Linked DNA regions of Sus scrofa. The protein of the gene in region 1 interacts with the protein of each later gene in a pairwise test. Links are inferred from orthologs where the notes say so. Each region holds a gene or a part of one and is shown in the gene's direction. Other genes may lie near its edges.

What was found.
Region 2: the proteins of TSC22D1 (region 1) and APLP1 interact in a two-hybrid assay, tested with the Homo sapiens proteins (2 studies listed by BioGRID and IntAct). The link is inferred for Sus scrofa from reciprocal best matches to the Homo sapiens genes TSC22D1 and APLP1.

Annotation. Positions count from the first base shown.
Region 1 is NC_010453.5:22,517,238-22,521,816, forward strand, and holds the start of TSC22D1 (TSC22 domain family protein 1), read left to right. Parts: upstream 1-1,554; 5' UTR 1,555-1,685; coding exon of another isoform or gene 1,686-2,642; 5' UTR 2,643-2,835; coding exon 2,836-4,579. Other genes in the region: atherin-like, read right to left, coding at 1,686-2,642. UniProt on the Homo sapiens protein: Transcriptional repressor. Acts on the C-type natriuretic peptide (CNP) promoter. Acts to promote CASP3-mediated apoptosis.
Region 2 is NC_010448.4:45,288,509-45,292,308, forward strand, and holds part of APLP1 (amyloid-like protein 1), read left to right. Parts: intron 1-160; coding exon 161-273; intron 274-509; coding exon 510-643; intron 644-737; coding exon 738-922; intron 923-1,380; coding exon 1,381-1,511; intron 1,512-2,129; coding exon 2,130-2,204; intron 2,205-3,045; coding exon 3,046-3,204; intron 3,205-3,281; coding exon 3,282-3,410; intron 3,411-3,800. UniProt on the Homo sapiens protein: May play a role in postsynaptic function. The C-terminal gamma-secretase processed fragment, ALID1, activates transcription activation through APBB1 (Fe65) binding. Couples to JIP signal transduction through C-terminal binding.

The DNA of each region.
Region 1 (4,579 bases):
ACAACAGTGATACTCCTAACCTTTGGGGGATGGAATGAGGGGAAAAGTTGAGAGAAACCTAAAGGTAACATGTTGAATCACCAATGAGGCGTCTATGGAAACCCTGCCGTCTACTTTTTACCAAGCTCCTGAAACAGGACTGTAGATCCGTTAGTCTGTGAGATTTAATGAATCAGAGGTCTAACCCTAAACGTTTAGTTCCTCAACAACCTAAGTAGAAAAAAAAAACCTTTCTCTCTAAGGTTTTCCACATTACTTTGCTGTGTTTTAATTCCTGGGCGAGATGTACGGCTCTCAGTAGTAAAAACTGCTTAGAACTAGAATGTTTTGACATGTAATGCCAGGGAAGCAACTTCCAGTAAATTGCCTCCAATCAAAGCTAACATTGCTTCTGTAGAACTATGCTCGGACCCATGCAGGATTTTGTTTTTATTTTGTTTATGTTTTTAAACTTGAATCGCAGATGGTTTTCTTTCTTTTCTACCTCTAAAAGGTAGTATTCATTTATCACAGCACTTGTATTGCCACAAAGACTAGGCCACTTTGTCTTTTAGGTCAAACCTGCAGGGGCTACAGCCTGGACAATTAAACTAGAAGATATCCCGGTTGGAGGTAAGCTCCACCTGTTGAGATCGGTTATTTACTAGGCTGGGCTGCTGCATCCCTCCAGGAAACAATGGCTTGCAAACGCTCCCCTCTCTAGAGAAGAGCCTAGGCATTTAACTGCAAACAGCTGCAACATCTGCCCGGCTGGCTCGTCCCTGCCCGTCGAAGGACGAGGGGACCGCACGGCAGCAGCAACTGCACCGCACAAAAGGGAGCGCCTATCCTGAGGAGCCACCGGCCTTCCGCGACCCCGCAGCACCAGGCTGGGGCATCCTCCGAGGGGGCGAGGGCGGCGAGGGCCGGGGGCGAGCCCAGGTGTGGCGAAGGGGAGGAGGGCTTCGCCACGCGCCGAAGAAGAAAGCCTGACTCATGTCGTGGCGGCGGCGGACTCCTGGGAACTGAAACTCGTGATGCTGTTGCTGCGGAGAAAAGCCTCATTACCCATTCCGCAGGCGGGGGGACACCACCCAGGGCGCGTACACCCGAGACCCGGGGCTCCAGCGGCCTCCGCCAGCCCCTCCCCACCGCGCCCCCTCTCCTGCCGCGTGCCCGCGCGCGCGCGCCGGCCGCGTGTGAAAAAGGAGCGGACACACCTAACCTGCGCGCGCCCCGTACCCGGCCCCACCCCCATCAGGCAGAATCTCTCCGGCCGACCCGGATTCGCTCCCCCGGCCGAAACTCCCCACCCCCGCCGCCGGCGGCGGCTTCGGCGCCTCCGCCAGCCTTCGGCAATTTCCGCCGAGACACCCGGAGCTCGGAGAGGCCCGAAGACCCGCCGCCAGATCCGGCTTTATGGCTGCGGCCCTCGGGGCGCATGCGCAGACGCCATCTTCCCTCCTTCTCCTCAGCCTGCCCCCTCCCCCCGCCACCGCCACCGCCTCCTCTCGCCGGCGGTCGCCCCTCCTCCTTCTGCGCTCGGGCGCTGGTCCCTCCTCTGCCGATGCCGCGAGAGACTCGCGGATACGGTGGAGCCGGAGAAGAGCACTAGTAACAACCACCGCAGCCCCCTCCCCGCCCGCCGCCCTCCCTCGGCAGCCACCCACTCACCCGCCCTGTTCGCCGACACCGACCAACCCCACCTCTCGTTCCTTTGAACGGCGTCGGCTGCAGTCGCTGCACCAGCCTGTCTGGCCACCAACGCCGCCGAGAAAGGAGTCGTCGCCGCTGCCTGCGGCCCCCTCCTGCCTGGGCCGCGGGAGCAGCGGGGTGAGGACGAGCCGGCTGCGGAGGAAGAGGACGAGAAGCGGCTCGCACCGTCGGCGCTTAGCGCACGTCCCGCCGCCCTTCGGGGAGGCTCGGGCGCCGGCCCCTTCCTCCCCCAGGACGTGTGCCGAGCCGAGGCGCCTGCCCGGAGGGAGGAAAATGCTCGGGCTCCATGGCTGCCAGTGATGGAGCGGTCCCTGGGCTCCCGCTGCCACCGCCGCCGCCGCGCCCCTGCCGTGCTCCGCGAGGACCCGGCGTCTCTGCGCGCCCGCCCGCGCCTCGTTGCTGGGCTCACCGTACCGGGCGCCCCGCCGCCGCCCCGCTCCGAGCCTCGCCGCGCCGGCCCCAGCCGCGGCCAGCGTTTCCTCAGGGAGCAGCAGCCGCCGCGAGCCCAGGGGGTTTGAAAGGGTCCGCGGGGCGTGGGGGGAGGGCCGAGCGGGGCCGGCGGGGCTGGGAGGGGAGGTTTGAGCGACACTGAGCTCGGGGCTCGCCGGCGGCGGCGGCGCTGGGGGTGGCGAGGGGAAGGCGACACTCGCTCGGCGCTGCCTTCGTGCAGAGCCACCGGGAGGGTTTTGCAGCGGCCGCCGCCGCCGCTGCGGCGGGAGGAGGGGTGGAGGTGGCTTCGGAGTTGTCCGGAGAAGGTGGGCATTTCTCGGCTTTCCCGCCCCCTCCCCTAGCCTCCCCCCTCCCTTGCTCTCCCCCTCCCTCCCGCCCCGCACCCCACGTGAAGCGGAATATAAAGGGGGGTGTGAGGCTAGAGGGGAAAGTGAATGGTGAAGGGCTGAAGGGGTACCCCCTTCGGGTCCTCGGCCGCCCTGTTCACCCTCGTTCATCCTCCCTTCCCGAAGCTCGCCCTCGAAGGCAGCAGCGGCCGGCGCCCTCGGCTGAGGAGGAGTAGGAGGAGAAGGAGGAATCGCGCCGGGTGGAGCATCAGGTCCCGTTTTCCTCCCCGGGCGTCTTGAACACAAAGATTACGGTGCAGAAGGAAATTGCTCGCGCCTCCTCCGCCCCCCGGTCCCCAACACAATGCACCAGCCGCCCGAGTCCACCGCCGCCGCGGCCGCGGCCGCTGCAGACATTAGTGCTAGGAAGATGGCGCACCCGGCAATGTTCCCTCGAAGGGGCAGTGGCGGTGGCAGCGCCTCTGCTCTCAGTGCAGCAGGTACCGGCGTTGGTAGTAGTGCCCCATCTTCCGAGGATTTTCCGCCTCCGTCGCTGCTCCAGCCGCCACCTCCTGTAGCATCTTCTCTGTCGGGACCACAGCCTCCGCCTCCACAAAGCCTGAACCTCCTTTCGCAGGCTCAGCTGCAGGCACAGCCTCTTGCACCAGGCGGAACCCAGATGAAAAAGAAAAGTGGCTTCCAGATAACTAGCGTGACCCCGGCTCAGATCTCCGCCAGCATCAGCTCTAACAACAGCATCGCAGAGGACACCGAGAGCTACGATGATCTGGATGAATCGCACACGGAAGATCTGTCTTCTTCCGAGATCCTTGATGTGTCACTTTCCAGGGCTACTGACTTAGGGGAGCCCGAACGCAGCTCCTCGGAAGAGACGCTCAATAACTTCCAGGAAGCCGAGACCCCTGGGGCCGTCTCTCCCAACCAGCCCCACCTTCCTCAGCCTCATTTGCCTTCCCTTCCACAACAGAATGTTGTGATCAATGGGAATGCTCATCCACACCCCCTCCATCACCACCATCACATTCACCATGGGCACCACCTCCACCACGGGCACCACCATCCATCCCATGCCGGTGTGACTAGTACATCCATTCCCGGAGGGCCACCCTCAAGTCCCGGATCCAGAAAACTCTCGACAACTGGAAGCTCTGACACTGTTATGCCCGCTGCTCCAACTTCTGCTGTATCATCGGGTGGCTCGCCTGCCCCCGTCATGCCTAGTATCCGAGCTTCGAGTACGACGGGCAGTATAGGTATCAATTCTGTCCCTGGCACTAGTGCGATGAATAACGTTAACCTTGCTGCCGTGGGTAGTTTTAATCCCAGCGTGACCAGCAGCATGCTTGGTAACGCTAATGTCAGTGCCAGCGGTATTCCCAGTGCTGCTGGCGTGAGTGTGGGGCCTATAGCGAGCGGTGGTGTCAACGTGAATCTCCTGAGCGGCATGGGCAATGGTACTCTTTCTTCCTCCGCTGCGGTGAACAGCGCTGCCAGCGCCGCTGCGGGGGTGACGGTGGGCTCGAGTCAGCAGCAGCAACCCGCAGTGAACACGTCGAGGTTCCGAGTGGTAAAGTTAGACTCTAGTTCGGAGCCTTTTAAAAAAGGCAGATGGACTTGCACCGAGTTCTACGAGAAGGAAAACGCCGGCCCTCCTGCCGAAGGGGTGGTGATAAACAAAGCGGTGGAAACTGTAAAACAAAACCCGCCTGAGGTGACCTCCGAGAGGGAGAGCACGAGTGGGAGCTCAGTGAGCAGCAGCGTCAGCACCCTGAGTCACTACACGGACAGCGTGGGGAGCGGCGAGATGGGGGCCCCAGCTGTGGTGCAGCTGCAGCAGCCGCCGCCGCCGCCACCACCAGCGGCCCTTCAAGCTGTGGCCCTTCCGCCGATGGACTTCGGCAGCAGCGTGGGCGCCCAGAGCCTCCCAGCGGGTAGCGTACCGCCTAGTGTTTCCCAACCCCAGGTCTCGCAAGTGCAGTTACAGCCTCCGCCTCCAGAACTGAGCTATCAGCAGAAGCAGGGTCTCCAGCCAGTACCTGTGCAGGCCGCTCTCCCCGCTGCGCCTGGTGTCCAGCCAACACCTGTTG
Region 2 (3,800 bases), on another chromosome or scaffold:
GGGTGAGTTTCTGGTCCTGGTTTCAGGTTCATATTAGGGAGCTGGATGCCTGGGTCCAGAGTGGGACAGAGAAGCCTCTGAGGATAACAGATCTGGATTCTAGGCGGGTAGGGCTAGTGGCTGTGGGAGTGTCTCACACTGATGCCCCCCCATTTGCCAGCGGGTGAATTTGTAAGCGAGGCCCTGCTAGTCCCTGAAGGCTGCCGGTTCTTGCACCAGGAGCGCATGGACCAGTGTGAGAGTTCAACCCGGAGGCATCAGGAGGCACAGGAGGTCAGGACCTGACCCCCTCATCCTCACTCCCCACTCCCTGCCCCCACCCCAGAAGGCAGGAGTCCAGTGCCCTAACACCCTCTTCCTCCAGAACCCAAGGGTCTGGCCCTCAGCCCCCTCTTCCCACAGGGACAGAGCTAAGAATCCAGGCTCCCAGCCCCATCAACCCCAAGACCCAGGCATCCCGGCTCCCCGTCACCCCACAGTCCTGGCATATGGGCCCACTCTTCCCGCAGGCCTGCAACTCTCAGGGCCTCATCCTGCATGGCTCGGGCATGCTTTTGCCCTGTGGCGCGGATCGGTTCCGAGGTGTGGAGTATGTGTGCTGCCCGCCTCCAGCGACCCCCAACCCATCTGGGACAGCAGTTGGGTGAGTGGGAGGGAAGCCTCCATGCCCAACCCGGAGCTGGAAACCGGGGCCCTGGGCCCAGGTTCTTACTGTCTCGGGTCTTCTGCTCCCCCAGTGACCCCTCCACCCGGTCCTGGCCCCTAGGGGGCAGAGTTGAGGGGGGTGAGGACGAGGAAGAGGAGGAATCCTTCCTACAGCCAGTAGATGATTACTTTGTGGAGCCCCCACGGGCTGAGGAGGAAGAAGAGGAGGAAAAGGTCCCACCCGCAAGCTCCCACACCCCTGCAGGGGTCAGCAAAGGTGAGGCAGCCTCTGAACCCCCAGTCCCCTCCACCCTGGAGGGAGGATGATTTAAGGGAGCCTTAGTGTAGGGGCACCTTTGGGAGGGGCCTGTGGGAGAGAAGCCCTGTTGGGGGGAAGTGGGAGGGCTGGGAATGGCTTTGGATAAAGTACAGGTGGAAGGGCCAGCCTGTGAGGAATGCAAAGGATGAGGATGGTTTGGGGGTACCTGGAAATGGAGGGGCCATTTGGTAGGTCCTAAGGATTATTTGAGGAAAGCTTGGAGGGGGGTGTATGGATTCCCAAGCTTGCAAGAAAAGGCCCAGTCCAGAGCCGTATCGCCCATCACACCAGGCAGCAGCATGGCTCCAGTGAACTCACGTTGGTCTCCAGTGCTCCCTAGGAAATGCAGTTCTATGGGAAGGGAAGGTGACCTGAAGATGGGCTTCAGGCTGACTCCCTGATTCCTGGCCTTGCAGTGACTCCCACCCCGAGGCCCACAGACGGTGTGGATGTGTATTTCGGCATGCCTGGAGAGATCAGTGAGCATGAGGGGTTCCTGCGGGCTAAGATGGACCTGGAGGAGCGCAGGATGCGCCAGATTAATGAGGTGATGATGCTGGGGGCCTCAGGATCCCCCATAAGCAGAACTTCAGCAGGAAAGGCCTCAGGGATGCATTGAGACTACCTCTAAAGGCTCTCCAAGCCCTTGTCAACCCCCCCCAACACCCTCCCAAGGATCCCTGACCCACCTAGGATCCCATTGTGAAGCCACCAGATTCTATGGTAACCGTGGTGCATGGTACGCTTCCACTTCAAATTCCTTCTGGAGTTCCCGTTGTGGTTCAGTGGTTAACGAATCTGACTAGTATCCACGAGGATACAGGTTTGATCCCTGGCCTCACTCAGTGGGTTAAAGATCCAGGGTTGCTGTGAGCTGTGGTATAGGTCGCAGATACGCCTCGGATCCTGCATTGCTGCGGCTGTGGCGTAGACCGGCAGCTACAACTCCGATTCCACCCCTAGCTTGGGAACCTCCATAGGCCTCAGGTGCAGCCCTAAAAAGCAAAATAAATAAATACATACATAAATTCCTTCTGAATCCTCTCTCTTGGGAATCCAAGCAGCAGTGGGACTTCAGGGATAAGGAGACTCTGAAGAGCGATGGGAGGACTCACTGGGTGGAGCAGGGCAGAGTCTAGGATCCTGAAGCTCCACTTGTCCCCAGGTGATGCGTGAATGGGCCATGGCAGACAACCAGTCCAAGAACCTACCTAAAGCCGACAGACAGGCCTTGAACGAGGTAGGACAGCCCTAGGGGGTCCTCATCATGCCTGTCCACCACCTGGGGCATGCTGGGTCTCCGCCTGGCTCAGGCTTTGTCTGGCCTCCTTCAGTTTCACCCCTTCCTACAGATAGGGAGCTCTCCCCACCCCACCCTACACTTGGCTCTGCCCCTCTCGGCCCAGATCAGACCTGACTTTGCCCACCTCCTCCTATTGGCCATGTTTTGCCCTGTCTTAACTTGATCCTAACCTCTTAAGGGCTGGCTCTGGAGTCTTCTTCCGAGCTGGGTCCCTGCAGACACAGCCAGATCCTTCTCAGCCTCTCTTTGATGCTAGGCCCTGTCCCCTGACTCTTGTCCTGCCCACTAATCTCTCTACTACTCAACCCCTCCTCGGGAGGCCCAGCCTCATGACCCTGGGACCCCCTCTCTTGACCTCACCTTGGTACAGCCCGACCCCACATAGACCCCACTCAGGTTAGCCCCACTCCCTGACTCTTGCTGCAGCCCCTCTAGTCTCGTTTAGCCACAGCCTGTCTCCAGTGGGCCCTGCCCAGGCCTCCAGCCCTACCTTTCCTATAATACTTTATCCCTTTTCATGGTTTGTTCCCACCCACACAGTTGACCCCTTCAGCTGGCCTCCCAGCAGACCTAGTCCTGCCCCGACTCTATCTGGCCCTGCAGCCCCAGCCCCTCCAGTCTCCTGTGATCTAGTCCTACCCCAGATTGACTCTGCCCAGACCTGGCTCCACTGCACCACCCTCCCCCTGGGCCCTATAACCTCACTTTTCCAGACTATCTTTGACCCACGTTTCACCCACCCACGCCTCTCCTGACCCTGTGCCCATCCCCTCTGCAGCACTTCCAGTCCATTCTGCAGACCCTGGAGGAGCAGGTGTCTGGTGAGCGACAGCGTCTGGTGGAGACCCATGCCACCCGAGTCATCGCCCTCATCAACGACCAGCGCCGGGCTGCCTTGGAAGGGTTCCTGGCAGCGCTGCAGGGGGATCCGCCTCAGGTGCGGGAGCCGTGGGGGCAGAGGGCACAGGGTGAAAAGCGTGGGGCGGGCCCGGGCAGCCTTCATCCCTTCCACAGCCAGAGCGCATCCTGCTGGCCCTGCGGCGCTACCTGCGAGCAGAGCAGAAGGAGCAGAGGCACACGCTGCGACATTACCAGCACGTTGCTGCTGTGGACCCCGAGAAGGCCCAGCAGATGCGCTTCCAGGTGCTCAGACTCTTCCAGCTCCCAAATACCCTGCTGCCCCTCAGACCCCATCCATCAGACTCTCCTCTTGTCCATCAGACCCTCTTTCCAACCCATGGACCTCCTTCCTGTCCCTGGAACCTCTCCCTTCCGTGCCTTGGGACCCATACCTGTACCTCAGACCCCTACTTCCTGGCCCTGGAGCACTGCCTCCCCCACTTCCTGTTTCTTGACCCCACTTCCTGTCCCTTGGCTTCCTACGTCCTTTCCCAGAACCCTCCTCCTGTGCCTCGAACTCTGTTCCCATCCCTCAACTCTCCTTTTTACCTAACCCCACGTGCTCTCCCTGAAAGCCTTGTTCTGTGCATTCAGATCCTAATTCGTTTCTGGGATGTTCTCTTGCTGCCCAAG